3 linked regions of the Saccharomyces cerevisiae S288C genome follow. The protein of the gene in region 2 binds, or shares a complex with, the protein of the main gene of each other region. Each region holds a gene or a part of one and is shown on either strand. Other genes may lie near its edges. A codon is read from its position in the direction of its gene.

What was found.
Region 1: the proteins of SEC66 (region 2) and SEC72 are in contact, whole or in part, in a cryo-EM structure (PDB 7KAO), measured with the Saccharomyces cerevisiae proteins. Residues at the interface, in NP_009730.3 of Saccharomyces cerevisiae: Ala71 (codon at 2,132), Leu74 (codon at 2,141), Gln77 (codon at 2,150), Ile78 (codon at 2,153), Met81 (codon at 2,162), Ile87 (codon at 2,180), His88 (codon at 2,183), Lys90 (codon at 2,189), Val91 (codon at 2,192), Lys93 (codon at 2,198), Ala94 (codon at 2,201), Ala95 (codon at 2,204), Leu97 (codon at 2,210), Asn98 (codon at 2,213), Trp159 (codon at 2,396), Leu162 (codon at 2,405), Met165 (codon at 2,414), Val166 (codon at 2,417), Glu169 (codon at 2,426), Ile170 (codon at 2,429), Phe172 (codon at 2,435), Asn173 (codon at 2,438), Gln174 (codon at 2,441), Leu176 (codon at 2,447), Ser177 (codon at 2,450), Arg178 (codon at 2,453), Arg179 (codon at 2,456), Tyr180 (codon at 2,459), Gln181 (codon at 2,462), Ile183 (codon at 2,468); in NP_013395.1 of Saccharomyces cerevisiae: Thr3 (codon at 8,586), Leu4 (codon at 8,583), Tyr6 (codon at 8,577), Lys11 (codon at 8,562), Ile13 (codon at 8,556), Asn27 (codon at 8,514), Ile28 (codon at 8,511), Gln30 (codon at 8,505), Ile31 (codon at 8,502), Leu34 (codon at 8,493), Thr35 (codon at 8,490), Leu38 (codon at 8,481), Ile39 (codon at 8,478), Glu41 (codon at 8,472), Pro44 (codon at 8,463), Asn45 (codon at 8,460), Phe46 (codon at 8,457), Pro48 (codon at 8,451), Ile85 (codon at 8,340), Glu86 (codon at 8,337), Gln89 (codon at 8,328), Arg90 (codon at 8,325), Ala93 (codon at 8,316), Pro94 (codon at 8,313), Trp95 (codon at 8,310), Glu96 (codon at 8,307), Phe98 (codon at 8,301), Gln101 (codon at 8,292), Leu102 (codon at 8,289), Leu105 (codon at 8,280).
Region 3: the proteins of SEC66 (region 2) and SEC63 are in contact, whole or in part, in a cryo-EM structure (PDB 6N3Q), measured with the Saccharomyces cerevisiae proteins. Residues at the interface, in NP_009730.3 of Saccharomyces cerevisiae: Asn69 (codon at 2,126), Lys109 (codon at 2,246), Leu113 (codon at 2,258), Gln116 (codon at 2,267), Ile117 (codon at 2,270), Leu120 (codon at 2,279), Asn123 (codon at 2,288), Gly124 (codon at 2,291), Ser125 (codon at 2,294), Ile126 (codon at 2,297), Gly127 (codon at 2,300), Glu128 (codon at 2,303), Asp129 (codon at 2,306), Tyr130 (codon at 2,309), Arg133 (codon at 2,318), Arg178 (codon at 2,453), Arg179 (codon at 2,456), Ser182 (codon at 2,465), Arg186 (codon at 2,477), Val189 (codon at 2,486), Glu193 (codon at 2,498), Trp194 (codon at 2,501); in NP_014897.1 of Saccharomyces cerevisiae: Gln247 (codon at 4,857), Thr250 (codon at 4,848), Lys251 (codon at 4,845), Lys252 (codon at 4,842), Asn256 (codon at 4,830), Ala259 (codon at 4,821), Ser260 (codon at 4,818), Val263 (codon at 4,809), Val267 (codon at 4,797), Asn268 (codon at 4,794), Tyr269 (codon at 4,791), Lys270 (codon at 4,788), Pro271 (codon at 4,785), Ser272 (codon at 4,782), Glu273 (codon at 4,779), Ile274 (codon at 4,776), Thr276 (codon at 4,770), Ile339 (codon at 4,581), Gly342 (codon at 4,572), Phe343 (codon at 4,569), Arg344 (codon at 4,566), Leu365 (codon at 4,503), Pro367 (codon at 4,497), Thr528 (codon at 4,014).

The regions. Positions count from the first base shown.
Region 1 is NC_001144.5:711,779-722,265, forward strand, and holds SEC72 (Sec63 complex subunit SEC72), read right to left. Parts: upstream 8,593-10,487; coding exon 8,011-8,592; downstream 1-8,010. Other genes in the region: YLR287C (uncharacterized protein), read right to left, coding at 1-280; 40S ribosomal protein eS30 RPS30A, read right to left, coding at 759-947, 1,378-1,380; MEC3 (Mec3p), read right to left, coding at 1,702-3,126; GTPase GUF1, read left to right, coding at 3,311-5,248; ubiquinone biosynthesis protein COQ11, read right to left, coding at 5,367-6,200; GCD7 (translation initiation factor eIF2B subunit beta), read right to left, coding at 6,539-7,684; Ran GTPase GSP1, read right to left, coding at 8,993-9,652; ATP14 (F1F0 ATP synthase subunit h), read right to left, coding at 10,221-10,487. UniProt on the Saccharomyces cerevisiae protein: Acts as a non-essential component of the Sec62/63 complex which is involved in SRP-independent post-translational translocation across the endoplasmic reticulum (ER) and functions together with the Sec61 complex and KAR2 in a channel-forming translocon complex.
Region 2 is NC_001134.8:576,443-580,851, forward strand, and holds SEC66 (Sec63 complex subunit SEC66), read left to right. Parts: upstream 1-1,921; coding exon 1,922-2,542; downstream 2,543-4,409. Other genes in the region: NPL4 (nuclear protein localization protein 4), read right to left, coding at 1-1,644; SMY2 (Smy2p), read right to left, coding at 2,708-4,409. UniProt on the Saccharomyces cerevisiae protein: Acts as a component of the Sec62/63 complex which is involved in SRP-independent post-translational translocation across the endoplasmic reticulum (ER) and functions together with the Sec61 complex and KAR2 in a channel-forming translocon complex.
Region 3 is NC_001147.6:801,429-808,994, forward strand, and holds SEC63 (protein-transporting protein SEC63), read right to left. Parts: upstream 5,596-7,566; coding exon 3,604-5,595; downstream 1-3,603. Other genes in the region: cleavage polyadenylation factor subunit CLP1, read right to left, coding at 1-879; TUM1 (thiosulfate sulfurtransferase), read right to left, coding at 1,122-2,036; TMA16 (Tma16p), read left to right, coding at 2,239-2,775; peptide alpha-N-acetyltransferase subunit NAT5, read left to right, coding at 2,949-3,479; OSW1 (Osw1p), read left to right, coding at 5,843-6,679; TRE2 (putative zinc metalloprotease), read right to left, coding at 6,826-7,566. UniProt on the Saccharomyces cerevisiae protein: Acts as a component of the Sec62/63 complex which is involved in SRP-independent post-translational translocation across the endoplasmic reticulum (ER) and functions together with the Sec61 complex and KAR2 in a channel-forming translocon complex.

The sequences.
Region 1 (10,487 bases), on a different chromosome or scaffold from region 2:
ATGGCCTACTAAAATTTTGGATTTCGGTAATCACAACTTTATGATTGTTATCAAAAGTTCCTGGCTTGCAAACAATACCTATTTTTGTGCAATGTGCCTTCAATACAGAGGCTAATTTGTCTAGTTCCTTAGTTGGGGTGGAACCTTGTAGTTTGGTAGTAGAGGAGATTTTACGCAAGTCTTCCGGCTTTTTGTATGGCACTAAAAACTGTTCATCTATAGAATTCAGCAGTTCCAATAATTTGACGTCATCCTTTCTATCACTGCTTCCAGTAGACATTATTGTATAACTGGTATTTCTCTTATAAAGTTTATAATAGGCGTCTCTGGTGATGCTTGTTGACCTCAATGGATTTTGTTAAAAGGAGGCTTCATGTCATCGTCAAGATCATTGCAGTTTTTTTCTAGTTTTTTTTTTTTCATTGCCACATTATGAAGCGCCCATTCAAAAACAACTAGAAAAACGTTTGCCAACCCTAGGTACGGCAAGATCCTCCTTATTAATAAAAGCATCACACCAAGACAGCAAAGAAGTAAATCGATAATATGAATAGCATAATTTTGCGAAGTTAAAGTCCTAAAGAAATAATTTATAGTTAACACTACTTACATAATTTCAATACTGCTTTATATTTAAAGTAAAAAACGCATAACGGAAATACAAATACAAGTCAAAAACTATCTTGAAGTAAAGATGGCATGACTGCTATTTTGTTTCTTGTTACTTTTAAGCTCCTTTTCCACAACTGTTAATTTTCTTATTGGACGGATGGACCTGGGTTCATTCTTCTCTTACCGTTAACCAAGGTAACGTTAACGAATCTTCTGGTGTACAATAATCTTTTGTAAGCACGACCCTTAGGCTTCTTTGGCTTTTCGGTTTTTTCAACCTTTGGTGTTTGAGACTTGACTTTACCAGCACGAGCTAGAGAACCATGAACTTTAGCCTAAATAAATAATATTAATATTAAAAATTAATGACCATGTTAGTATAGTGAATTTTTGAATTATTTGGCGTATCAGCAAGGATGCTAAAAATAAACTTCACTCTGCTATTTTCTCAAAGCCTTTTTAACTCTCCGTCAAAAAATGTTGTTATTAAACTCGACATTATGTTAAGTCCACGCTGTTGCCCTCGAAAAATCTGTGTCAAGCAATTACGTTTTTGATGTAACAGAACTCAAATTTAAAAAGTTTCCTATCATATTCTCAGGGTGGAGCCAGTTTAAAGATATATTGCGTTTTATTTCTTTTTCTGCGGTATATATAGATATGAAACACCAGTAATATATTCAAATTAGCTATTTCTTGTTATTCATTCCTCGCTGAAACGTCCATTTTTTTCATATTTTAAAATCCTAATGAGGCATTACGTACCATATTTGCGTAGTTTTTGTATGGGGATATGGAAGATTATTACAGTGGCAAATTTAATGTGCAGTTCATGTAGCCTTTAAAATGCAACATACCGTTCGTAAGGCTGTTTTGTTCTATCTATTTTTTCTGAGGTTTCCGACAACCTCACGACATTTTTTTTTTTCGAACGGAAAAAAGAAAAGCAGTTAGTATGTAAAGCACGGATTTTTTTATACATATGTACGGATGTGATAGTCTGCAACTCTGCAACTCTGCAGTTCTCAGCCATGTCAGATTTAAAGAGTTTCCTTAGCAACGTAGCAAAGAAATGTACCGCTGTAGGGTTTACAAGCCCTTCGATCTTGCTATATAATATATGATTTGTCCTCTTTCCCTTGGTTTTTCCACATCTTCGCTATCTTCCAAGCTACCACGATCCAACGAACAGTGGAATACGCAGGATTCGTCGTGAGAAATCGCCAAAACAACTTCTTCAAATGCAGCGTATAACTTGGAACACACCTTCCAATCTTTGCAACGGATGATTACTTCATGTGTGGACGAACTTTCCTGTTCAGCCTTTTCCACCATAACGGATATGTCATTAAATTCAGTATCACCGCTAGTATCAGCTGTGTAAATGTTTCCCCGCGTATCTGCGATCGAGCTATCCTCAATTCTTAATAAATCTTCATCGTAGCGGATATTTTCTTCCATCTCTCGATCTCTAGTATTGGTATATAGTGAAGACATCGGTTTATCCGCTTCGATAATCGGAAGAGATCCTTCCTCCTGCCGGCCGTCTGTGTCGATGTGCTGGTTTTGGGAAGGATTGTCAGTGAGCCCTTCTTGGCGTTGTATCACAGAGTCTAAGGGTCCATTCCAGCATATTTCCAAATGCCAATCTAATTCATTCACAATTATCTTAAGTTCTACATCATCACCTTCATTTCCATGCTCCTTTTTTTTGACTCCCATTAAATGAATGTGGTTGACATTACTGTACCGTTCAACACGTCTAATAAACCCGTGGAAGGCGGAGCCAAACTCGCCCGATATTGGTGGCAGCTTGTACATCATCAGTTGAATATAGTTAATCATTGGCTCTTGTATTCGCGTATCTTGTGCTCGGAATAATAGTTTGACAGGTACTTTGAACGAATGCATGATAACCTTATTGCTTGCGAGTAGATTTCCTGTGCCTACTGTGGTTGGTAAACCATTGTGCTCATCCACTCCCCCATTCATAACTATAGCGTCATTTGGGCCGCTAGTATGTACAATTTCTTCGAATGTTATACCTAGAGCACAAATGGGGTTCGGTTTTGAGGTTGTATCTACGCCTCCTGCTGTTCCTCCTGAAAGTGTTCCGTTATTTGTATTCCATTCTGGCATTGACTGTAGTTTTATAGTCATATTAGAGGAAGATCCTTGGTTCATTACTCGATCATACCTTTTAAACACACTCAATAAAGAATCACAATTACACTCCATTGTTATTGTATTGAGCTCGCGAGCTGATATAACTGTATATAATCTGAATACATCATGAGGAATGGTACACCAAAGCTGACCAGTATCCCCTCGTAATATTGTACCGTTGTTACTGCTGTTGAGTGATGATTTTGGAGTGGATATTATTGTCAATCTTTCACTATTAAATCTTAAGATAGCCGTCTTTCGTAGCGAAGCAACTGTATTGATAGTAGTTCTTAGCAATTTATAATCATCAGGTGCTTCACAACCATTTACTATCAATTTTAATTTCATTTAACTGAATTAAGACACACCTTTTGTCTTCTTTTTTCTCTCATCATCTCCGTATGTTTATGTTGCTATTTTGATGTAAATAAAAAAGTTGAATAATAGACGAGGGCAAGTATAACTCGCCTATATTTGTAGCCGCAACCATTGAAAAAGAGCCATGAATATGGGAAACTAGTTGCACATAAAAATGCTGAAATTTAGAATTAGGCCAGTGAGACATATACGGTGTTATAAACGACACGCATATTTCTTACGATATAACCATACGACTACCCCTGCACAGAAGTTACAAGCACAGATCGAGCAAATACCTCTCGAAAATTACAGAAATTTCTCTATAGTTGCCCATGTTGACCATGGGAAGTCAACCTTAAGTGACAGACTGCTGGAAATAACGCATGTCATCGATCCCAATGCGAGAAATAAACAAGTTTTGGATAAATTGGAAGTCGAAAGAGAAAGAGGTATTACTATAAAGGCGCAAACATGTTCGATGTTTTATAAAGATAAGAGGACCGGAAAAAACTATCTTTTACATTTAATTGACACGCCAGGACATGTGGACTTCAGAGGTGAAGTTTCACGGTCATATGCGTCTTGTGGGGGAGCAATTCTTTTGGTTGATGCATCACAAGGCATACAAGCACAGACGGTTGCTAATTTTTATTTAGCCTTCAGTTTAGGATTGAAATTAATTCCAGTAATAAACAAAATTGATCTAAATTTTACAGATGTTAAACAGGTAAAGGATCAGATAGTGAATAACTTTGAGCTCCCCGAGGAAGATATAATCGGAGTAAGTGCTAAAACAGGATTAAATGTAGAGGAACTGTTACTACCGGCTATAATTGATCGTATACCACCACCAACGGGGAGGCCTGATAAACCCTTCAGAGCATTATTAGTGGATTCTTGGTACGACGCATACTTAGGAGCGGTTCTTCTAGTGAATATTGTTGATGGTTCTGTACGTAAAAATGACAAGGTTATTTGTGCTCAGACAAAAGAAAAATACGAAGTCAAAGATATTGGAATCATGTATCCTGACAGAACCTCTACAGGTACGCTAAAGACAGGACAGGTTGGCTATCTAGTGCTGGGAATGAAGGATTCTAAAGAAGCAAAAATTGGAGATACTATAATGCATTTAAGTAAAGTAAATGAAACGGAAGTACTTCCCGGATTTGAAGAACAAAAACCCATGGTATTTGTGGGTGCTTTCCCGGCTGATGGGATTGAATTCAAAGCCATGGATGATGATATGAGTAGACTTGTCCTCAACGATAGGTCAGTTACTTTGGAACGTGAGACCTCCAATGCTTTGGGTCAAGGTTGGAGATTGGGCTTTTTAGGATCTTTACATGCATCTGTTTTTCGTGAACGACTAGAAAAAGAGTATGGTTCGAAATTGATCATTACTCAACCCACAGTTCCTTATTTGGTGGAGTTTACCGATGGTAAGAAAAAGCTTATAACAAATCCGGATGAGTTTCCAGACGGAGCAACAAAGAGGGTGAACGTTGCTGCTTTCCATGAACCGTTTATAGAGGCAGTTATGACATTGCCCCAGGAATATTTAGGTAGTGTCATACGCTTATGCGATAGTAATAGAGGAGAACAAATTGATATAACATACCTAAACACCAATGGACAAGTGATGTTAAAATATTACCTTCCGCTATCGCATCTAGTTGATGACTTTTTTGGTAAATTAAAATCGGTGTCCAGAGGATTTGCCTCTTTAGATTATGAGGATGCTGGCTATAGAATTTCTGATGTTGTAAAACTGCAACTCTTGGTTAATGGAAATGCGATTGATGCCTTGTCAAGAGTACTTCATAAATCGGAAGTAGAGAGAGTGGGTAGAGAATGGGTGAAGAAGTTTAAAGAGTATGTTAAATCACAATTATATGAGGTCGTTATACAGGCCCGAGCTAATAACAAGATAATAGCTAGAGAAACAATTAAGGCAAGAAGAAAAGATGTTCTCCAAAAGCTGCATGCTTCTGATGTCTCACGAAGGAAAAAACTTTTGGCGAAACAGAAAGAGGGTAAAAAGCATATGAAAACTGTAGGTAATATTCAAATCAACCAAGAGGCATATCAGGCTTTTTTGCGCCGTTAGCATTGCATATTATTGTTATTACCATTTTAAAATTATACCAAGCTGTATATAGTTAAGTACTTTTCATTTGTAAATAAAAGAGAAAAATAGATTAATAAATATAATAATGGCATAATCATTATGCTTTAAGTATTTCCTCAAGTGTAACTACCCCTTTAAAATCTGGGTTTTCGATATTTTTCAGGACGGATTTGCTTACCTGCTGAGTGGATACTGTTGGCCTAATCAAGTCGTTCAAAAGCTGCAGCTTATTTCTCAATAGAAATTTGTTACCGCAGTAAAGTAGTTCAAGTGCAGTATGAATAAAAGACCGTGGTCCAATTGCATTTCTGTGCTCATCGAACATAAAACCGGGTCTCACAATAATAGGCCTGAAATATCTCTGCATTTTTTCTAGTTCAATCTCCGCCTCTCTTTTCGAATTAATATAGCCACTAGGAATCAATGGGAAACCTTTATCGGCGGAAATATACGTAAAAGATCTTTGATTTGCTTTTTCTTGCTCCTTTTTGCTTTTCTTTAGGATTTTTTGTTTAAATGTATCTGCCAAAATAATAGCACTTTGCTTATTCATCATTTCATAAGTAAAATAAGGACTGCTTTTTTTTAAAGGATTTGGACCTGCACCAAAAGATAGAAGGCGTGATTTTGAATCATATGTAGGGGATTTGGATAGAGTTTGCTTATAATTTTCATTTTCTAGGAGGATTCCCAAAGAATGAACTACGTTAGTAGCATTATTCAATAATTCATGGTAAGAATCAGGCTTAAAAATGTCAGCAGCGGTCCATTGGACCTCCTGCATCCATTGCTTATCATTTAATTCATTGCTATGAGGAGCTTTACCGGACCTTGACACAGAAACGACTTGGTAGCCCGAAGTCACTGCTTCTTGACAAATTCTTTTACCTAAAAATCCATTGCCTCCAAAAACTATAAGCTTTGGTATCATTTTCTACTTCAGTTCAAGCTTTAGCTGTATTTTTGTATACGATACATATTTCCCTTATTTTTTTATTTTTTCAATGTTTTCCTGTTTTTCTATTATGCAAAAGCGACAAGATGGCATTACGAGGAGACACTCAACTAAAAAAAAAAAATGAGTCAAATTGCCAGACTTTGTAGAGAAGTAAAAAGTTAATGCTAAGATGCTCTTTATGTATTAGTCTTTTAACATATTCAAGGATACGTAAATATTCTGATTATATACTAATAATTAATAATAAAAAAATTGTTTTGATCTACAAGATTTTTATTTATTTTCATGAGTAATGTACAAAAGACACATCATCACGCCTTATTTTTATCCAAATGCACATCAATTTGCTTGTAATTATCCCACGCAATACGATATATAAAACTTGGATTGAACCCACCGACGTTTGTAATGTAGATATCAATATTTTCAGGCGGAACATAATCGGTAATTTGATTAACTGTATCTAATCTTTTTCTTGGATCCATTCTAGGTAATATACGTTGGGACCCACCAAATTCGACAAACTTCTCTACGTCGAACGGATATAGAGGAGAAAGCTTATACAAACCTGCAACAGCAAATACAGGGGTTCTAAATTCTCGGGCGCATTCACAAACGGATGATACACCTGAATTTGACGAGATAGTCCCCCCATTGACAAAAACGGCTTTAGTGCCGATAATAACCTTACCCACACGGGACATTAAAGCAAAAACAGCTGAGTCTGGGACTACTAGGGTTTCTATGTTGTGCTGTGCTAATTTTTTGGCAAACTCATGTGCATTCTTGGTGTTATTAGGGAACCCCTCTGTAACTAAAACCGTAAATGTTCTATTACTACGTTCGCGAGCAGTAATCAGAAATTTTAATACGGTTTTTGAATCAGGTGTGGGAGTTAATAAAATCTCATGATCGTGAATCAAATCAATAGCAATTTGCTGAATACCTTCATCAATGTTTTTTATCTCATCTATAAGATCCTTGATACCCTGAATGGCTACTTGACGGTAATCAGTCTTGGTTTTCATACTAGAGCTCCCTGAACTATTTTTTCTATTCTGATGAGGTTGCTCCGGTTTCTGTAATAAATTAAACATAGAGGAAATCAAAGGTTCAGCAACGGATGTGGATGTGACAGTTGTGCTCATAGTGTCTTCTTCTACTTCATCCCTCAAAACAGCCAGTATTCTTCTAATTACGTTACCGCAACTGAAAGCAGTAGGATGAGCTTTTTCTAGACTATTACCTAAATCTCTGATTTGTTCAATAAGGTCATTAACATGGTTCCAACGAGCTGCAGAGATAAATCGCATTAACAGTTGTAAAGTTTCCAAGGCGATGGCGTATGAACCTTGCACTTGTCTTCTTTTTAACTTAGCAACGAAAGTGTCAATGGTAACATTCACATCAGATGTTGCCGCATTCGGATGTACTGAAGTGAATGCTTGAGAGGACATCTTATGTTGGGCAAAAGTTCGAAAGTTGGCGTGTTGTGTTTACTGGTTCCGCACGAGTAATGAATGGTCTGTTTCATTTATGAAGGTTTTTTCTATGTCCATTTTTTTTTTTCAGCATCACGAAGAAAAAAAGCTTGCGGTTGGGAAGCAGAGGTATCATATACTCAAGCTGTATAGTTCAAAGCCTTTCATAAAGGCTATTCCTTAGTATATATGATAATGGGCTTGCTATGTGTTTTTGAATCTATCTAAAATTTCTTGCTATGTAGTCGTGTGTAGCATAGAGACATATCAAGAAAAGGCTAAAATATCTTCGGTTATGCACCTTATTCACCGTTATATTCGGCCAGATTTCTTGCAGTTTCTATTAAAAGGGCTCTAAGTTTCATATCCTCTGGGGCTAAAGCTAAACCTCTCTCGCATGTTGCCCTAGCCTCTTCCCACTGTCTCAATTTTAGCAAACAGTCCGCCTTCCTGACAAATACGTCTGGTTGGATAAGTCCCGTACCAAGTAAGAAATCCAAGTCTTGCAACGCCTCTAAATGCTTTCCGAGTATTAAACATAAATCTATTTTACTACGAAGCATAAAGTGTAGCTCTGGTAGCTGAATAGCAAAAGCTTCCCAAGGCGCTCTTTTTCTTTGTGCCATTTCGATTGCTAAAGAAACATTCTTCAATGCCTCATTCAATTTTTTTTGTTGTAAATTCTTCATACCACTTTCAAATAAACCCTTGATCATTTTGCTTAGAGCTTCATTCGGTTGTGGTGTAAAATTTGGGTTGGTTTCTCCAATCAAAGATGTAGTGAGAACATTTATTTGATCGATATTAGTTTCGGTAGATAGTGCAACAACAGCATCACTCGCAGTGATCAGTTTACTGTTTGCATTGTATTCAAGGGTAACCATGGTTGAATAAGCTTGCTTTGGTATGCCTTTAACGCAAGTTGAAGGAGACGTTTCTTTGATTTTAAGGCTATTGGTTTTATGTTCAAAGATATAATCTAATTGTTACGTGTGCTCCTACATCCGTTTGAAACGATCCATAAACGATCTAAAAAATATAATATTAGACAAGCCAAATACGTTTAAATATACTTAAATCACAGCATATTCACATTCAACTATTTGTTATATATTTAAATCTGTTTTATAAAAGACAGGAGTACCAGTTAGTTTGTGTTTTCTTGTTGCAATTATAAAATCTTCAAAATCATGTGGATTTTTATTGAATTTCTATATCGAGATGAATGTAAATATGTATACAGTTTAGGGTAGGGAAAAAAGAAAGCTTGTTCTCGTTTGTCCCTTATAAATCAGCATCATCTTCATCAGGCAATGGCAAAGCAGTAGCTTGTTCCATTTCTTGTTGGTATTGTTGCATCAATTGTTCATCGACTTGGACTTCTGGTGGGGCTAAAGCTGGAGAAGCAACAAATTCTAATTGTGGGTTACCAGCCAATTTTCTGGCCAACCATAAGAAAGGCTTTTCAAAGTTGTAGTTGGACTTGGCAGAAATATCGTAGTATTGCAAGTTTTTCTTTCTGTGGAAAGTGATAGTCTTGGCCTTGACCTTTCTTTCTTTGACATCGACCTTGTTACCACACAAGACAATTGGGATGTTTTCACAAACACGGACTAAATCCCTGTGCCAGTTTGGAACGTTCTTGTAAGTAATTCTGGAAGTAACATCGAACATGATGATGGCACATTGGGCGTTAATGTAGTAACCGTCTCTTAAACCACCGAATTTTTCTTGGCCGGCAGTATCCCAGACATCAAATTTAATTTCACCGAAGTTGGTGTAAAAGGATAAAGGATGCACTTCGACACCAATGGTGGCGATGTACTTCTTTTCGAATTCACCGGTCAAATGTCTCTTGACAAAAGTGGTCTTACCAGTACCACCATCACCGACAAGAACTAGTTTGAATGTTGGAACTTCACCGTTAGCAGCTGGGGCAGACATTTATAATATAAATGAGTTTATTTGATTTTCCTTTTGTACTGGACTAAAAATCGATTGAGGGAAAAATGTTGAAGGAGCAGTTCTTCCTGTTTAAAAACGAAACAAACTTAAAAGGTGAGGAAAAGTTGATCATACAGTTCAAATTTTTCAAAATCTTCGCCAAAGAAAAAAGAAACGAAAATTTTTTTTCTATCTCGGTGGGATGAGCTTTCGTCCAGAGCGATATTATCCTAAGGTGACGAACCACGCATGTCCTTCATAAACGGATCATTATTTATTTACCAAAGAAGCGTAGGTCATACTTAGAAAGTAATAGTTATTGAAATAAAAGAATAGTAGTAATAGGAAAGATAAAGACGTGTCTATGTACAATTGTATTTTTTGTTTAAAAAATAAATTCTGCATTTTGTGTGGCTGATTACAAAGAGTGCGTAGTGTATTTTGCTTTTTCTTTATTGTACTGGATTCGAATATAAAAAGATGAGAGGAAGAAAGCCAAAAATAATGATCTTGTTCAGCTTGTGGTTCTGTTTGTTTTTTCTTCGACAAGGAGGATGCTATGAAAAGTTCAATGACTTTCTTTGGTTTCCTCAGCATCATCCAAAACTAGCCAATCCTCTTCAATTGGCTCTGACTCACCCTCTTCAGACTCTTTAGCAACATGAGCAGTTTCTACATTTTGCTCGGTGTAAGCCTTTAAAGCCTCTGGGCCTTGAAGTTCCAATTCTGGTAGATTTGGTTTTTGTGGTGGGTTCCAAGGCTTAACATTACCTTCAGCATCTTGCAAGGTACTTGGAGCCAGTTTGGTGTCTTTTAGTTCCCTCAAATACAAATC
Region 2 (4,409 bases):
TATTAGTAACTTCCATTCGTCTGGAGAGAGTATCTGCAGAGAATTTATGTATAATAGTAAATGAAAGTTCGAGATTTTTTCATGCAAAAGATTGAAATCTCCACTTGAAGCCACATTGAATAAATACTTTTTTAATTCTTGATAATCTTGAGATTGCCCCATAGCTTGTCGATTGCTCCATGGAAATCCGGTGGAACTAACGAATTTCGAGTTGGTTTCCGTATCGGTATTCGGGAACCCATGAGTCAGCGTCACTAAAAGATAGTCTACCGGAAATGCAGGCTTCGCATTTTCCTTCACTGTTATACCATATTCATTCGACTTCATGTAAAATATCTCAGGTACATATCTTTCATCTGTAGTGTCATTAATATATGCCATTGAAGGAAATGTGGACCCACTTATCATATCTGCAGTAACCAATGCTTCAGCTTCTGTGGATACTTGGTAGCTCGAAATATCAATTTCACCTTCCAAATTACCTGATATAACGCAAGTTACAAACTTGGAAGAAAAAAAACCTTGTTCGCTATACTTGCTTACATTAGGATGCCTTGTTTGATGCCTAGCAGCCATAATAACTTCTAATGATGAAAGAAAAAACGAATCCTTATGTCTTTTGCAAAAAACAGACCCATCCCCAGCTCCCGCGTCAGATAAATCTGTAAATATTAGGCCAATTCGCGAAAGCCCCATTTCTTGAGCCTGTCTATCAATCTGTAGCATTTCATTCTTGACCTGTTCTACGTCCATGGTTAAACCGTCTTGCTCATCATGCTGAGGGGGCTCGTATATCGCCTCAACGACGGCCTTTATACCTAAAGGTGTGTTATCATACTTAGAATAAGATCCGTACATATAGCCAAATCTTTGCATACCCGTGTACCTCCACGCCTGAATAAATTCATTAATTATTTCACTCTTCTGAAATTCAACGTGGTCAACCATTCTAAATTCTTGCTGTTGTAATGTAATTGCCGATGGTTGACATTTAGAACATATCCCCCGAGGCCATGGTTCATGGCCATTATGGCAACGCTTATTGATTCTAAAATCAGGTTCTGAAAGAGGGGAAATATAAGAGCTGCCGTTCTCCTTCTTATTAGCATTTTCATTTAGCTTTTTAAGATATGAATGAAACGATATATGTTTGATCTTATTCTTCTCATGATATTCTTTGTCCCAAGGAGGTAAAGGCGAGCAGTATTCACACATACCTCTATCACCGTGCTTGCATAGTTTTGATTTTTGACGAGGAATTAATCCGTCCTCTTTCTCTAGTTCCTCATCTACAGCGAGTTCTTTGATCCTTAGTGGACCGTACCTGTGTTGACGAATTCCCTTGCTGTCAATACCTACGGATCCGATTTCAACATTGACACCATCTTTCTCATTAGCGGGCTTGTCCGAATAGTTAAGGATCAGCATGTCACCGTGCTTTAGTCCTAGATCCATCACTGTTCGATCAGCTAGTTCAGAAACAGCATGAATACCTTGACCGGGCTTCTCACAAACAGTAAATGTGTCGACATCGGCATTGGGGTCCAGATTACCCACCAACTTTTCAATGACCGTTCCGAAAAGGTCGTTTTCTTGACAAGAAACCCTGTGTGTACCGTTTTTTGATCTAAATCTGATAAGCATACTTCACTTAAATGTATATCGATATCAGTAGTATAGGGAAATTTTTCTTCAGAGTACTGTCCTATTATTTGCCACTCTTCGTTCTGTATGTTACGAGGGCGTTCCTTAAAATGGGTAGACGCATCTTATTACCCGCCAAAAAACGTCAAAAGTTTTAGGAACACGTCTAAAAGTTGAAATAATATGTGAAAAAATTGATGAAATATTAATGAAATGGCTTATTTAAACGAATTCAAGTACAGGAAAGAGGTACGCACAACTACTTGAGTTTGCCAATATGTCCGAATTTAATGAAACAAAATTCTCCAACAACGGGACGTTTTTTGAAACGGAAGAGCCAATTGTGGAGACGAAATCAATCTCCGTTTATACCCCACTCATATATGTCTTTATTCTGGTGGTGTCCCTTGTGATGTTTGCTTCAAGCTACAGAAAGAAGCAGGCCAAAAAAATTAGTGAGCAACCATCCATATTTGACGAAAACGATGCCCATGATCTGTATTTCCAAATAAAGGAAATGAGTGAAAATGAAAAAATTCACGAGAAGGTGTTGAAGGCCGCTTTATTGAACAGAGGAGCAGAATCTGTTAGACGATCATTAAAGTTAAAAGAGTTGGCTCCTCAGATAAACCTTCTATATAAAAATGGCTCTATTGGGGAGGATTACTGGAAGAGATTTGAAACTGAAGTTAAATTAATTGAATTGGAATTTAAAGATACTTTACAAGAAGCTGAAAGATTGCAACCGGGCTGGGTTCAATTGTTCGTTATGGTTTGTAAAGAAATTTGCTTTAATCAAGCTCTCTCTAGACGTTATCAATCAATCTTGAAACGGAAAGAAGTGTGTATTAAAGAGTGGGAGCTGAAAATAAATAATGATGGAAGATTAGTCAATTAGTGCCTACTGTGTGCAAAGATATGTATTCGCTCGTTCAGTGTTTTTTTAAAAATATGTATAGAATTTGTCATTATCTGCGTTAAAAAATAGTTATAAAGTATATACAATAACAATAAATGATAAAGAAATATGCAGTGAAAAGAAAAAATTATGAAGCTTTTCCTTTCAGTGTTTTCTACCCTTCTTCTTGCTCACTACTTGGAATTCCCAGCCGTCGTCATCATTGCCTGATAGAGCTAGCGCTTCATTCCAACTTAGTGGATCATCACCTTGTTTTTCGCACGCAACACGTCTTTTAATAAATTCAGTGGCAAATCTTCTACCATCCATAACGTCACTATTGGCATAAATTGTTTCTTGAATCAATTCTTTAGATTCTGGCCCCGTAGGTAAACTCAATAATAGTTCTAAGACATTGTTATTGGTTATTCCAGAATTTAATTTCATCTGTGATTTACACCATTTGATAAATTCTTGCCGGGGAGAAACATTGTTCATGCTAGCAAAGGTAGTGGTAGTAGAAGTTGTGCTAGTTTTTGCCGTTAATGAAGAATTTAAACTGGTATTGGTTTTTGAATATGGGGAGACAACGGTTCCTATAGGTGCTTTCCCTTTAGAAGTCACCGTAGTCCAAGAAGATGTGGTAGTAGATGCAGAGGATGTGGACTTTACTTGTTTGGAAGAACTCTGAACCTTTTCCCATAGTTTTTTCTGCTCTTCTATGAAATTTGGATCTTCCAACTCCTTTAACGGAGACGACTCTTTCATCCCTTTTGGGCTTTTTTGAAACTGAGATTTAATATCAATAGTTTGATTCGATGGTAGGCTGGACTTGTTAGCCCAGTTAAGCACGGATTTTAGTTCCTCCTTTTGCTTTTCTTCTTTGCTGTTCCTCTGTTGTAGACCTAAGGGTTCTCCTTTCTTCTTTCCAGTGCTACTTACACCATTTTTAATTGAAGTTTCGATTGCATTGTTAACTTTGACTTTTGAGGCCCATGGTGCCGGATTCGCGCTTGAGGAATTTAATGAAGGCAAATCTTTTGATGTCTTAAAGCCTTCTGTTTGTGTTTGTGTGTCCTTTTTTGTCTTTTCTGATTTTTTTTGCTTTTCTGCTTCCAAAGCTTCTTTTTCCTTTTGTTCCTTTTGTTCCTTTTGTTTCTTCAATAAATCATCCTCTTTTTGCTTTTGTTTCTTCGATAAGCGAGCTTCTTCCTTCCTTTTGAGTTCTCTGTTCCGTTTCTCTTGTTCATCCAATAACGCTTTTGCTACAGATTCGGATTTTTCCTTCTTCCCTTTTTCCAGCATAGTGGTCGATTTGTATTCTTGCTTGTGAGATTCATCTGTTTGACTAATGGTGGTTGCTGAGGCTAATTTAATATCGACTCCCTTGGAGGTGGTACCTCCATCCATATCCCAGATATTGTCATGTGTCAATGGCTTGAAAATATCGTTTTCAGTAGCTTTAATAGTGCCAGTAGCGGCAACACCGCTTGCGTAAGGAGCTAGATTCAAGTTGATAGAATCAGAGCTGGTTGTTTGAACGTGAAGTTTGTCAAAAGTAGTGAATGGATCCGTATCATACTTCTCGAGTTTAGTCATTAACTCACCAAGTGTGATGAAAATATCGTTTATTCCTAGCGTTTCTGGAGTGCTTCCCAATCTTGAAATCTGAAGGGTTGAAGCAAAATAGCCACCTATGTACCATTGTGACATCATTTGGGTAGTAAATGGACCATGAATCTGTCCCTGCGTGTCTATGTACCTCCAACTGGATTCAACTGAAACTGGTGCTGGGAGTTGTGACATTCCGTTCATGCTCATATTAGGAGGAATATCAGAGGACGGAAACAAATTGACATGAGATTGG
Region 3 (7,566 bases), on a different chromosome or scaffold from region 2:
CTTTTTTACTTTCTCCCAAAGAGGATCCGTTTCAGAACATAGTACTAGCATAATGTTAACATTGAGTTTCTCAATGATATGGTGCAGTTCAGCCAAATTTTCATCCAGTTGTGATATTGATGGCGTATCGACAATGCACCCTGATCTCCTGACTTGAGGATCCAAATGTAACCTTTGACCTACTACTTGACCTAACTGGCTTATACACTCAAGGTATAGATCTTTGTTCTCATTAATCCTTTCCAGGCCAAAATTTTTCACCATTGGCTGCTTATTATGTAGTAGTGTGGCACCACTAGTGAGACTCTGACCCCAAGTGGGTAGTTGTGCATCAAGTATATCTGATATTGGGGTGGCAGATATGCATCCAGGAACAGTAAAAATGGGCTGTTGAGGGTCAAGATTGATGTATAGTGGTTGGTAAGCGTTGAATTTCAAAGCGTAAGAACATAGTGTCCTCGATAGGGAAGTCTTCCCGGTTTGCGAACCACCAACAATCACCACTCGAGGGCCTTCAAAGTTAGACATTCGTATCTTCTCCAACATGAAGTGTAGATTATAAATATATTTCATAGTATGGTTAGGCTTGACAGTTATTGTATTCGTAGTTAAATCAGGACATTTCCATAATAATTCTGTTTCTTCGACAGCGTATATGGGAAACTTCCAGTTCTGAAAAGTGTACTCATCATCTACTGCCAACTCGGTGCCAAATATCTCAACTATGCCCGAGTTTACCTTGACTATCAGTTTTCCCTCTGCTTTAAGATCAATTTGCCAATCACTGCCCTTGGGAATAACCAACTTGTGCCATTCGTTATCACCAGTTATCAATTCTTCAGAGGTAGTATGCTCATCAATACCAGGTAGACTTGCCATGATGGTTTAATCGTGTTGGAATTTCGAAAAGAATTAATAGTTTGTTCTTTTCCCTCGATAGAAAGGTCTCTGCTCATTTTTGCCAGCAGTCTTATTTTTTGCTGTTATTTTCTATTTTACCGGGCAATAACAATGAAGAGCACAAATAAGACAAAGAAAGGGAGATCGCCCTTTAAGTAAGTAGATAGATAATTAATATATGTAGCTAAATAAATCGACTTGTCAAGAATATATTTCTCTTATTAATCTCTGTTTTCAGCAATCCACTCGGGCCCGGATTTCAAGACCCACTCGGTCCAGGATCCATCATATAATCTAACATTGGGAACTCCTGCTAGCTCCAATGCTGTCTTGATAATGACTCCTGAAACGCCAGTTCCACAAGAGCAAATAGTTGGTTTACTTGGGTCCAAAGTGCAATGAAAGTCTTTCAATGCCTTTTCCAAAGTAGCGTGTATCGCCTCCCCAGCTTCTGGGTACGTTTTGGTCTCCGGATCAAGTAAACTTCCATATGGTAATGGTTGGGTACCTGGAATATGCCCCGATGGAATGTCGGAACGAGGCTCTGGTTCTGTACCTTCGAATCTACCGAGCGACCTTGCATCGAAAGCATTGAATTTCTTAGCCAGTTCCCCACTCTTTACCAATTGGAACATTTCCTCATAGTCTACAATCTCCTTGTCTTGGAAACTTTCTGAGGACTCATAATGACTCTTTGGATAGGGTGAAAACGCTGCCACCTTAGAGGAATCTAGAGGGTACTTAAACTCTCTGTACTGGTTGAAATTATTTAGTAAGTACACCTTAGGATGTCCCATCACTCCTAATGTCCAAGCACATCTAGGGGAGCTAAAGTTACCAACACGATCGTAAACCACTAATATATCATCTTTTTGAACTCCTAAATTACTCATAGCGTCGTCAAAAACCTTCTTTGTAGGGAACATATGTGGATAGGGCGATTTTTTGTCACTGATTGCATCAATATCAAAGAAAATGGAGTTTGGTATACGTGGTTTGGTCAAGAAATCCACTTTATTATCAAGCTTCCAACTGGGTAGGTACCATGTTGCATCAACTGGAACGATTCTATGAACCTTCTCACTGGCCACTAACTTAACAAACGCTTTTGGAGAAATAAGATCAAATAATGGCATTGAATGTATGGGCAATTTTCTTCACAACTTTATGCTTTTGTCCTCATTGTTTGAATGCACTTACGCTGTATTATTGTACACAGCTGAACATCCCGAGCGAAAATTTTAAAATGGTTTAATAGACGAGATGAGAGATGAGCTCTTTAAAGGTACTTTCTAAGAAGAAAAGTATCGGAACAGGACTTACCACGACAAACTAATCATGCCGGTTACTAAATCTTTATCTAAGTTGCAAAAGAACTTATCCAAGAAAGGGAAAAATATCACGGTTCATCCGAAGGGTAGAAAGTATGAAAAGCTGGTCAGGGCTACTATGCGTGAAGATAAAATCGCAGCCAAAAAGAAGCTTCATCAAGACAAAAGAGTCCACGAACTAGCTCGGGTAAAATTTATGCAGGATGTAGTTAACTCTGATACATTCAAAGGGCAACCAATATTTGATCACGCCCACACAAGAGAGTTTATTCAAAGTTTTATTGAAAGAGATGATACGGAATTAGACGAACTCAAGAAGAAGAGGAGGTCAAACAGGCCACCAAGCAATAGACAAGTGCTACTGCAACAAAGGAGGGATCAAGAGTTAAAAGAATTTAAGGCGGGGTTTCTCTGTCCAGACTTGAGTGATGCGAAGAATATGGAATTTCTAAGAAACTGGAATGGCACTTTTGGCCTTTTGAATACTCTAAGATTGATCAGAATTAATGATAAAGGTGAACAAGTCGTTGGAGGAAATGAATAAGAAGTGTCGCAGAGGAATCTTTATGGTTTATATGCTCTTTATATAATTTTATGTATATTATAGTAGAAAAAGCAAAGAAAAAAAAGAAAATTGATATTATTAGCGAAGCTTTTTCACAAATTAATCCGTAACAAACAAATTGGCAAAGACAATTGAAGGGAGTAGTGCGAAATATGGGCCGTGATATATGCACATTAGACAATGTTTACGCTAACAATTTGGGCATGCTAACCAAACTAGCTCATGTGACAGTACCAAACTTATATCAAGATGCCTTCTTCAGTGCATTATTCGCTGAGGATAGCTTAGTTGCAAAAAATAAAAAGCCATCTTCGAAGAAGGATGTACATTTCACACAGATGGCTTATTACAGTGAAATACCAGTGGGTGGTTTGGTTGCTAAATTAGTTCCTAAAAAACAAAACGAACTATCTCTCAAGGGCATTCAAATCGAATTTTTGGGCGTGTTGCCTAATTATAGGCACAAATCCATCGGTTCAAAATTACTGAAGTTTGCAGAAGACAAATGCTCAGAATGTCATCAACATAACGTGTTTGTCTATTTACCAGCAGTGGATGATCTTACAAAGCAATGGTTTATAGCTCATGGCTTCGAACAAGTGGGCGAAACTGTCAACAATTTCATAAAAGGTGTAAATGGCGACGAACAAGATGCTATCTTATTGAAAAAACACATTTCTTAACAGATGGCTGAAAAATTTTTTTTTTTTTTTTGGTTTTGCTTTGTATACACATGTATCTATTTTTATAAAGATGAAATATATACGTCTAAGAGCTAAAATGAAAAACTATACTAATCACTTATATCTATTCTGGTGATTCATCATCTTCAGCTTCTGTATCCGTATCGATATCAGTATAATCGCTAGCATCACTTTCATCATCACTTTCGGTTTCGTCGTCATCAGTAGAGTACTCATCATCCTCCTCAGAATACACCTCTACTTGTTCCACTGCAGGAGAATCACGAACTTTCATATTCATGGTAATATCCAAATCTGTAGTGAAATAATCTGTGGATTTAACGATTACTCTAAAAAAGAAATCACCAACAGTTTCAGGTGCAGGCTGACCTAATGGAATTTTTATGGTCCCGATTTCCCAATCATTTATATCGAATTTTTCGTGTTTGGTTAAATCCATTTTTATCCTCTTATCAAAGAAATCTTTGTCATCGTTCAAGTTCTTGTAAGATAGCTTTTCAATGATAATTGGCGTTTGAAGTATTTTACCATCTTTTTGAGAACTTACCAGACAGCACCAACTCCCACGTCTCTTTGTAGGGAAAAATGGTGCAAAGGAATATGGGACGAGTGGCTGTTTACTCATCATAGCAAATGGATCTCTTTGAGATTCAAAATCTTGAGGTTCTGTTAAATTTTCTTCAGGAATTAAGCTAGTTGGTATCAATGGCTGTTTAGCAGAACGAACCAGTACTTTCAAAGAAATGTATGGGGTAGATGATGGTGTTACTTGGTTCTCACCTGGGACAAGGAAGTCTGCCTTGATGATCTTTAGATTTGGAATATGCGATGCAACTCTCAAAGTTTCGTTTAACTTTGCTTGATCCTTTATTCCAAGAACCTCACCAATCTTGGCATCTTCTAAAGTAAACAATTTACCTAATGTATGAATATCTCCGGTTTTGGTAATAAAGTGCTCTTTATCTACGTTCGGCAATTGAAGGATTTGACAGTTTGGTGTTAATGGTACAGCCTGAACAATACACTTGAAAGTATTGATTGCACCCAATGCAATATCTAAATTTCTGAATCCACAAGCAATATCCAATAAACCGTGTAACAAAGAGTGACATTTGGCCACTATTCTAAATTTCGCATTGTTAAGTTTACCACTATCTCTGCGGTTAATATGATCTTGCAAAAGTTTTTCAAAATCCGTTGGTTGCAAATCCGGGAAGAATTGTTTAAATTCATGAGCAAATGATAACCAGTGTAAGATCAAATCTGTGGTGACAATCTCAGATGGCTTGTAATTGACTAAGTTACTAACAAAATTAGAAGCCGTCACATTATGTATTCCCTTCTTAGTATACGATTGTGTTCTTGCCCACCATCTACTAACAAAATATGGCAAGATTAAACCTAGTAGCGCAACATAACAAACCACTAATAATGGAGATGCACTTCCATCTACCAAAAATCTTGGTAGAGCGATACCATGTGAAGTAGATTGTGGGCCATCTGGATGACCGTATTTCAAATAGTTTTGCCTAACCAATTCGTCAGTAAGGGATTCGTAAGCCTTCGTAATCTGAACATAAGTTTCTTCCATCACACTTTTCTCATCAGGTGTTAGGCCCTTTGCTAATTTATCTGGATGAAATTTAACAGATAATTTTCTATAAGCAGATTTGATGTCTCTATCGGAAGCACTAGTAGAGATACCAAGGATTTCATAAGGATCAAATAATTTTGTAGCAGCGTCTTTAATCGCGTCATTACTATTAATCCTTTGCAGAAGAATTGCAACTAAGATCCAACCCACAATAATTATAATATTTCTCCTGCTCCATATTTTGGACTTCTTATTACTATTTTTATCAAACTTCCTTCTAAATTGTTTGATTTCATCACTGGTGTATTCTTCATTCAAGTTCTTGAAAACTTCCTCATTAAACTCCTTACTCTTCCCTGAATTCCCATCTTCAGCATTGGCCCCAAAAAAAATTTGGTATATTTGAAGCAGTGTCATAGGCCCGACGACCATCAAGAGCCCCGTTAAAATGAAGGACGGCCACGTCTCACTAGCCTCATCATACTCGTAATTTGTAGGCATTGTGCTGTAATATGCAGTATATTTATTTTGTTGCGAAGGCCTTCTTTGGTCAATTATAACTGACTATTGTTCCAGTCGCATCTTTTATTCGTTCAGTGATCTTCGACGTGTTCAAGACAAATTTTTCAGAAAACGCCTTTCCGTAACGAGTGACCAATTCGCGTTATAAGAGCGATTGTGTCAGTAATGAAGTCAGATTGTGACATTATAAAGCTAAGACGTTAATAACTCAAAATAGAAAAGAAGCATGAGAGCACCACCTTCACCGAGAAAGTCCAAATCTGGTCATTTTTTTTACCTATATTTTCGACTGTGTCAACTGTTCAGTGGCCGGAAATTAAAGAGGAGGTGGCATGTCCACAAACTTCACATTCACCAATATAATACTCGCTGGAACTTGAGCCCCCTCTCCGAAATACACATTGAGGACATGATAAATGAACCGTCTGGACTATGTCCAGGAAGTTCCAAAAAGAAACCACTACTGATTGCAAGGTTTCCCAAGGGTTGCCAAGAATCACCAAGGGTATATGTACTGCAAAGGAACAATTTGTCTCGTTTAAAATTAAGCAAAAGAAAATATGCCCTAAGGTTCTATCACAATGAAATTTTTGGCAATAATTTAAAGAGAAAAGACGGAAGCATCCACAAAGTTGAACACCAACAGTGCGCAGAAACCGTTAGAAAGATCAAGAAAGTCACAGCAAACCATGCTGATGTTAAAATAATATTTCACGATAAAAATACTATAAGAAGTGACAAATTAGGGGGTAGGAGTAATAAGATGCAGACTAGGCCTAGTGTTCTTGAAGAGGATGTAGAAGAAGAAGTCTCTTCGGTATATATCAGATTTTGTGACGACCATTCCCTGAGAGTTAAAGATTATCACTCTTTGCACAGGCATTCTAAAAAATCTTCTAAAGAAAAACGAAATAATCAGGAGATTGGAAAATCTAAGTTGCTTGGGAAGCTTTTTGAAGAGGAAACATCGCGTCAAAACAAAGGTGTAGAGAAGAAACTAGATACGATTGTGATACAGAAATTTCAAAATTATCCTATTGTCTCCTTCTCTCGTGTCATTTAACAAAAAGATATATACAAACATAGGATACTAAGAGGAAAAGCATCCCAAAAAGAAGAAATGCTTGCATGCCATGTATTACATAATTAAAGAAAAAATTTTATTAACATACTTCCTTATACTTACAATATGTATTCTTTCAGTTCAATTTATTTATACCCGATGTCATTAGTCTCTTCGACAAACAATGCAGCAGACTGATGGAGTACTTTGCCAATAAGGTCAATTTGTTCTTGAGCCCTCTTCCAGTCATCATCGTAAATCGCATCCATCACTCCTGGAAATGTCCAGAAATCTACATTTCCACCATTTTTAGATTTATCCTCCTGTATCAATGTTGGTCCGAACAAAACGTTCTTATAAAATGATCTATTAGGTAGACCCGCCGGAGAGCATGTTCTTCTACCAATATTAGTCAATTTTTTATTCCATGTCCACCTATTAATTGAAAGTAAGGAGGGCTCTATACCATCCCCATGCGACCATACTATGTTCTCCCAACCTTGAGTCCATGACGCCCATTCGCTACCGATTTTCTTCCAAAATAACAAACCTTTGATTATTGATGTGAAGTTTAGTTTTTCAGGGTATGCTTGCTCTAACCTTTGCAATCTTTCATCGATATCTTCAACATAGCTTATTATGTCAAAATGAAGTAGCGGGTCATCAATCAATTCCATACTAATATGTAAAAGATATACTAGCAAATCCTTGACAGATTGTTGGTTCTGTTCGTCTTCCAGAATCTTCTCAACACGTTCAAATTTATCCTCAGATGTTTCAGTTGGGGTGTCACGGTTTCTCGTAGAATCAGAAGATATTACAGATACAGGAATTCCATTTGCCAGAAATGGAGTCCAGTCACCATAGTGCTGTACATTATCCACAGA